2 linked regions of the Coturnix japonica genome follow. The protein of the gene in region 1 purifies or fractionates together with the protein of each later gene. This does not show direct contact. Links are inferred from orthologs where the notes say so. Each region holds a gene or a part of one and is shown on either strand. Other genes may lie near its edges.

The links.
Region 2: the proteins of RBSN (region 1) and VPS45 purify together in Homo sapiens (affinity purification with mass spectrometry; 4 studies listed by BioGRID and IntAct, counting the BioPlex papers as one, with this or other methods). This does not show direct contact. The link is inferred for Coturnix japonica from reciprocal best matches to the Homo sapiens genes RBSN and VPS45.

Annotation. Positions count from the first base shown.
Region 1 is NC_029527.1:17,051,059-17,055,009, reverse strand, and holds the end of RBSN (rabenosyn-5), read right to left. Parts: intron 3,733-3,951; coding exon 2,596-3,732; 3' UTR 508-2,595; downstream 1-507. UniProt on the Homo sapiens protein: Rab4/Rab5 effector protein acting in early endocytic membrane fusion and membrane trafficking of recycling endosomes. Required for endosome fusion either homotypically or with clathrin coated vesicles.
Region 2 is NC_029540.1:63,031-66,612, forward strand, and holds part of VPS45 (vacuolar protein sorting-associated protein 45), read right to left. Parts: intron 3,279-3,582; coding exon 3,165-3,278; intron 2,740-3,164; coding exon 2,572-2,739; intron 38-2,571; coding exon 1-37. UniProt on the Homo sapiens protein: May play a role in vesicle-mediated protein trafficking from the Golgi stack through the trans-Golgi network.

The sequences.
Region 1 (3,951 bases):
GACATCTTCTACTTCTGATGCTACTGGCCCCTGCCACAGTTTTAGATCATAGTAGTTTCTGCTTTGAATGGTTTACCCTATACCTGTAACAGTATATAAATACGCAATAGCACTACACTGCTTTTAATTATTTAATTGCATTAAATCAGGCTCGTATGTGCAAATTGCTGTAGAAATAATTATCAGCATTTCTGAGCTAATGGTTGAATACAACATTTCACACCCATTTTTAAGGAATGCTTGAATTATCAAGGGCCAATACAGCACGAAATAGATGTTATTTTATCTCTCGTTTACCACATTTCTATACAGAGTACTGCATGCAATTGTACCATCTCAGCGCTAGTTACTTACTAGTTCTATAGCTGTCTTCATTTTGTTGTGCCTTGGGAGCCTCACAGCAGCCCAAATACCAGCACATGGTCTTCGCATTGGAGAGAACTTCAGTATCAGAGGCTGATGTACCGCAGTTAATGCTGTCAGCAATCGTGATGCTACTTGTACAAGTACAGTCACATGTACAGAAGGATTTTATTAATTAGGCTGAATGTACAAGTAGTGCAGGATGGTTACAACAAGGAAAACAAGCTTTTTAAATGCAAGTGCTGAAGCCACTGAAATATTCTTTTCATCTCAATACCACGAAGAGCTTTGGGTTATAATGCAAGAAGCACTCCTCTTGAGCAGCCATAGTCTGCCTTGAAAAACTGACTTGGACTATTCACTTTGAAGTGAGCAATTCTTGGGATAAATTTCATCTCAGTCATTTCTGCTGCCTTTGTACACCTGGTGCCACAGCACAGAACTATGTTTAGTTTACGGCCTTTCAGAACTCTGCTGCAGATGCTCGGCCCACTTCACAGTAACGCCTGGAGATACAGCCAACATTAACAACATGCACTGGTATAAAAAACTGAAGTCCTTGAGAAAACCCATTCTGTGCACCTTTCAACTTCAAACTGCAGTGAGAAGTACAGCTGTCCTGAAGCTGCTGTACTGAGTTATTCTGATCAGTTATTAGTCTTACTGCGGGTACATCTGTTGGTTTTGTTTGCCTTAAACAGAAGTACAGTCCTTCAGTGTATTTAAAAGAAATCTACAGCTCCTGCTGCTTAGGTAGCGTGATAATTTGTGTTTCTGAAATACTAAGTAGTGCCCCAGTTACAGCTACGCTATTCATGTGTTATTGGATACATAGTTAAGAGATGTCCCACTCCACAAAACTCTACTTCTCAGTAAGCCCACTACTATTAGAGCAAGAGAGTATGATCTGCCCAATATCCTCCTTTTCAGCTTTAATTAGATACACCTTTCTAACTAACTTCTCCCAACCACCGTTTCAAACACTTATGTCTGAAGATGGACCTCTGCCTCTCAAAGGGAGGGAATGTGGGGAAAGCAGCAAAACACACTAACTTAACACTGAACAATCCTAACTTTTATAGTACCAATCTCCAGAAGCCCTCCTGCACCACAGGAGATGGCCTTTACCCAGTCACTGCCATGGGTGGAGGCCCAAACCAAGACTCCCATCTGGACCTGCTTACTGAAGACTCGCATGCCTGGTTCTTTTAACTTCTGATGAGAATCAAATATAAAATAGGAACTTACATTTGGCACAATCACAGCCCAGCTCTCACAGAATTCCAGTTCAGTGGCACTTCAGCTCTCCAGGATTTCTGTTCTTAAAGTGCTACAATAAGGATTCAAGTCTCAGGTAAACAAATATGATCATTCTTCAACCCAGAGAGTATAAAGGAAAGTGCACATTCCAGAATATAATCAGGAATTTCAAGGTCACCCTTAATACTAGCCTGATGTTCTGGAAATGAGCATCTACATATTCATTCCTACACACGTAGCTTTGAAGCCAACGTGGCTCTCTATTACACTGCAATTTGTGCCTAGAGGGACTGGGAAACTAAAAGTAACAAGGTGGCACCTCAGTTAGAAATTGTTATAAGCACACTTTAAATGCTACTCATATTAAAATCAGTGAAGTCTCTACTAGTTTTTAAATCCATTTCATGTACTATTGCACAAAACTGACCTATGGCCTGTATATCCTGCATCTCAAAGAATCATAGCAGCCTTTCAACAGCACTTCCTTGTAACTCTCTTAGGACAGTCAGACTGGCCTGTACCTGACACTGTGCCATTAGCAGAAGATGCAGAAATTTTAGAAACACTTTTGTCTTTTCGGTCAAAGCTCCATTTGAAAAGCCAGTAGCTCAGCTGCTGTAACAACACAGTGCAAACAAGGAGGAAAGATGACAAACCAACCATAAAACAAAGTGACAGTTCCCTATTACTGCTTAAGCCTTTTGACCAAATTAAACACACAGTAAGACGAATTAGCATTAAGATGGTTGTAACAACTTATGATAAGTTTTTTTAGTATAAGTGTTCAAGACTAGCAGCGTTCCTCTTCTTTCTTCAAGGCTGAGTAGTGTTGGGAATATATAAATGAAAGCATATAAAATATAACATTCTCCCAATTCCTTCTTGTAATCTGTACTGCTGTTTATAACTGCTCCATCTTCCCATCTCTTAGCAGCGGACTTGAGGTAACTCTTACAAGGTGTGATTGCTGCTTCAACAGTTGGATTTCTCCTTTTGTTTTGCTAAAGTGTACTTCAGTTCCTTTAAGTTCTCCGTCAGTAGTTCCACCTCATCCATTCGTCCGCTATGCTTGGCATCAAATATGTAGGCTTTGATATTATCTATCTGTTGGAGAAGCAGTTCCTCGTCTATAGCCTCCTCTCTTAAGATCTCAGTTACATCTTCCACCTCAAAGGGATTGGTAGAAGATCCTTCTTCAAATGGATTTCCAGAATTCCAATTGTTCCCAGACTTCTGAAATGGATTTTCATCCTCTTCAAAGGGATTTGAAGTACTGACAGATGCTCCACTGGTCTGTTCACCTTCCTCCCCATTTTCAAATGGGTTATATTCTTTTCTGTCACTTTGCAGAGCTGTGTTAGAGAAAGAAACCGGTTGAGACACATCTTCAGCAAATGGGTTAGTGGGATCTTCCTCTGACAGAGGGGTATCTGCTTCATCTTCAAAGGGGTTTAGACAGGTTGCCTGATTTTGGTCTTTGCCACACTGTGGAGTATTCTGGTGTCTAACTGGGACGATTACGTACTCTTTGGCTGGAATCTGCTGAACAGCAGTAGTTTCAGAACTTCGGTTCCCTTTCACTTGAGTAATATCTAAATCCAATCTATGTGCTAACAAGTTCTGATTCTCTTTTGCAGCTTCATACTGATGCTGCTTGCCTTCTCTGAAATCTAAGGAGCCTGTCATTGAATGCTGAGACATGGATTTGTGGTGTTCTCTTTCCCACTCTTTTTCACAAAGGAACTGAAGTTCTTCCCTCTGCTTCTCTTCCTCTTCTGCCTGTTTTTTAGAAAGCTCAATGGCTTTCAGAGTTTGCTGTTGATCATATTCATCCTGAAGTTGCCTCAGGTTTTCTTGCAACATACGGACCTCATCCAGCCTATTAGCTGCCTTTGCTTGCTCAATGAAGGATGTGATGTTGTCAATCTGCTGAAGAAGTGGGTCTGCCACCTCACTCTGTCGAGATATGCTCGATGTAGGCAGCCAGCCTTCAGATTTCCTGACTGCTCCTTTTTTAAGGAGAGTTGCATCACCATTAACTGCACCTGCAGATCTGCATGTCAAGTCTTTCTGCTTCTCCTCTTGTTTTCTGTGTGTTTCAAGAGCTGCCTAAAACAAAAATATATGGAGAACGTGAGCTTGAAAAATTCCATTTTTAACTTTTGTATTCACAGAAAATAGTTGTCTACCTTAGATACTGCTGTCACAAACATCAACTCAGTCTTTAGTTTCTCTGAAAAAACTGTTCATTTTTGTAATACTACCTATTATTTATGAAGACACTTAATGAAATCTATTCACGTCTGCCTGTACAAACTTGAGAGCAAA
Region 2 (3,582 bases), on another chromosome or scaffold:
CCGTCACCTTGGGGTTCTGCAGGAGGCGTCGCACATTCTGCAGCGAGATATGAAGTGGGATTAATGGAGAGGCCTTCAGAGCACATTAAATCAGACTCACATCAGACCCACTGCTTAGTAACAACATTACAAGCAGAAAGAACACAAGGGAATTAAACTGTGCCATAAGCAACAGACCTGAGCTTCTTAGGAGCTCTGTGCTTAGATTTATTGGTGTATAATGGACTGCAAGTTGTTTTCACAAAGCTGGGAATTCTCTGTAATTCTCTGCAGCTCTCCATAACGCGCCTCAGAGTGAGCCCAGCTCACAGTGCTTTCCTCCCAAACGGGGTATCTCAGATGCTTGCAGAAACCTTTAATCTCTGCCCTTTTCCAACCTGAATGCAGCAAAAGCTGGCCCACACGTTCCATCACAATATTAACCATCAAGGAGGAAGTGCCAGCAGAGCTACACTGTTTTCTTGTAGGTGTGAGGATGAAGCAGCAGAGTCTCAGACAATCTCTGGATGTTGGCAACCCCTGAGGGCACAACAATCTGCAATCCTACCTGTGCTTAAAGCAAAACATCAGCCTGTATTGGCTCAAGTGTAAGAGCACAGCAGAGCTTTAGTCGTACAGTGGTTGAAATGGCAGAGGGACAGAAGCAGCCAGGAGGATTTTTCCTATGCTGCAAGAGAACATGACCTTCAAGCACTCCAAACATCCCAGCACATCTTGGCAACATTCTCCCAGCCTCCCAGAACAGGGAGGCAGCACGGAAACATTCAGCGAACAGCTGTGAAACAATATTGTAACAGTTGTTATTGACCCAGCTGATTCAGCTATTTGCTATCTGTTTGTTGCTATCTGTTACACTGATGCAGACCAGTTACAGAAACATGGGGTAAAATCCTGGCTGGAGCTGCTCCCTGGGGTTAACCAAGAAACTCTTCAGGTCAGGAATTCACCTGTCAGGGTAAGGACAGAGTCCCACGTCCTGGATCCTGCGCTGGCAGCACAGTGGCAGTGCCGATATAAGCGGGAAGCTTGTAAAACAGAAAAGCTATTGTCCATCTAAGGAGATGGGATTCAAAACCTCCCATTCATCTCTCAAGGCTCATGTACAATGTCAGGATTAATAAGAGACCAGGAAAAGAATAACCAAAATGTACTGTACTCAGGGGGCCCTTGGCCACCAGAGAAATTAACAATTGCTGAAGTTACATCAGTGGGAGAACAATTCTGCCTTTATTTTGTGCACTGGTTATTCTTCATTGTGTCTGTGGCCTTGCCCCTTTGCTGCCATTAGGAGACTGCAGCAGGGAACAGCCTGGGGCATTACAACTAAGGGGATACTGATCTCTCATGCAGAAAGACACCGGTTCCATCTTTGCATTCTGCATTTACTTCCCAGCTGCTACACGGTTTTCAGTCACTCTCAGTTGATACAAACACAACGGAGCCCTTTAGGCGTGTGGTATCAACAACTGCAGGCAGCCTATGTGCCATAAAACCTGCAGAAACACCACTCAGTGCAGACTGAGACCTGAACCAGCATCGAGGTGAATCAAGAGAGCAAGAGAGCTTGTGTTCAGCAAATGCATTTTATGGTTATAATCCCTCTTCAACACTTAGCCATCAAAATTCTACCAAATACAAGCTATCAAATCACATCTATATGCTCACAGATCTATACAGCTGTGCTGACTTCAACAGGTCTATACTGATTTACATCAGCTCAGGATCTGGTAATAGACGACAGTGCTTGAGGAGCTGATGTTATCACTGAGCCACCCACTTAGGGAACAGAGTAACGGAGGTAAAGAAAACAGGGCTTTCTAATCTGTTGTAAATAAGTGTAAATAAGTCCATTATATGGTGTAACTTCTATCCCAACTGCAAAAAAGCTTTCAAACAGTGAGTCAGTGGCTGAACTCTGCTATAATACAGTCGCTCCCAACAATACTGCTATTTTCTCTGAATAGTCAGCAGCCACCATTCATCATTATTGACACACTGTCAGATATCAGGTCAGGTCATGGAATCCAACAAGCAAGAGTGGGGTCAAAACTTCAGTCTATACCCAGCTATAACAGAAGTCTCTTGTAGGCTTTTTCAGCCCTCTCTGCCAAAGAAACCTTTTATCTGAAAGGCTTTTCACTGTTCTGTATTGTTAAAAAAAGAAGTAAAAACCACAAGGAACGGTCTGCTTCAGTTATGGATTCCATTTCTTCTCCTTCCCAACAAATACGAGAAGCTTCTGCACAAGGGTCCAGGTTTTGTTTTACTGGTGCCTCTGCAGGCAGCTTGCCAGGTCTCAGCCGACCTCATATAATGAAGGAATGTTCTACTGTGAAATGTAAAGACAGAGTTTGCAAAGATGCTTCTCAAGCCAGTTATTAACTATGATTCATCCCCATCTGAACTGAACAGGTAGGAGAAAAGTAATCCTAACGTCTTATGTTCCTACCCTGTAGGACATCTGTGCACAGAACTGCCACTGACTTTCAGTATCAAACTCCATCAGCAGGAGACTCAGGAGCAAACCATCTAAATTCAAAGGACCGCAGGCAGGTTCAGGGTCCAACGTACCTGGAGGGCACTGGAATGGTCGTTGTGACAGGCCAGCTCCTGCTCCACCTCAGACACCTCCAGCAGGTTGCGCTCACCGACCAGTCGAGAGAGCTCTCCTACCACTGTCACGTGCTTTGACACCGTGCCCGACATCTTCTTGAACTGCGGGTAGTTCTCCACAAAAGCCTGCGAGGAGCAAACCAGAGTGACACGCTTCAGAATAAGAGCAACAGACAGCAAGATGGAGCTTATACAATTTCCCACTGGGTTGCACACATCCCCTAATGAACAGAGCAATGCAGGTATACCCATAATAAAAGATCACATAAAGTAACTCCAGAGATGTTGCCAGGATTCTTTAAATCTTTGGTGGTGACTAAATTAGCAGCCCCTGCTGTGGGCAGCTGCCAAGTGACCCAGCTCAGATAGGAAGTGCACACAACCACACTGGGTTAAGCCAAGGACCCGAACTGGAGCTTATCAATTCCACTGTGGGGATTCCAGATTCCAGCAGGCTCTAAACTGCAGCTCAGGAGCTGTCAGAGGGAGCAGGATGGCCCACCACAGGGTCTACCCTGCAACATACGGGCTTCAACAAGTCCTGCCTGTACCTTCATATCCGCTATGGATTCCAACTTCTGCTGCTCCTTAGGTTTCCTCTTCTGGAAATCCTCCATAAGGTTCTTGATGTTACTGCCAATCTCTGCAAAGTTCAGGTACATGTTCTGCATGGAACAAAGAGGGGATTTGAGAGAAAACCATTTGAACACAAGTCCTGACACAGCTAAAACCCAGAGACACTGAACCCAAACACTTAAGTACCACTGCAGAGCATCTCATCTGTCTGACACCCAAACTTGACCGGGCAGCTTTGCGATTGGTCCCATTTTATTTAAAACTACCAAAAAGCCGTTATTACACACCAGAAAACGTCTGTGTGACGCAGTGACTCTCACTCTACATAAACCTCCCCCACCTTAACAAAGTCACTGAAAGACTGAAAGGTTCCAAGAACAGAACATGATTCTG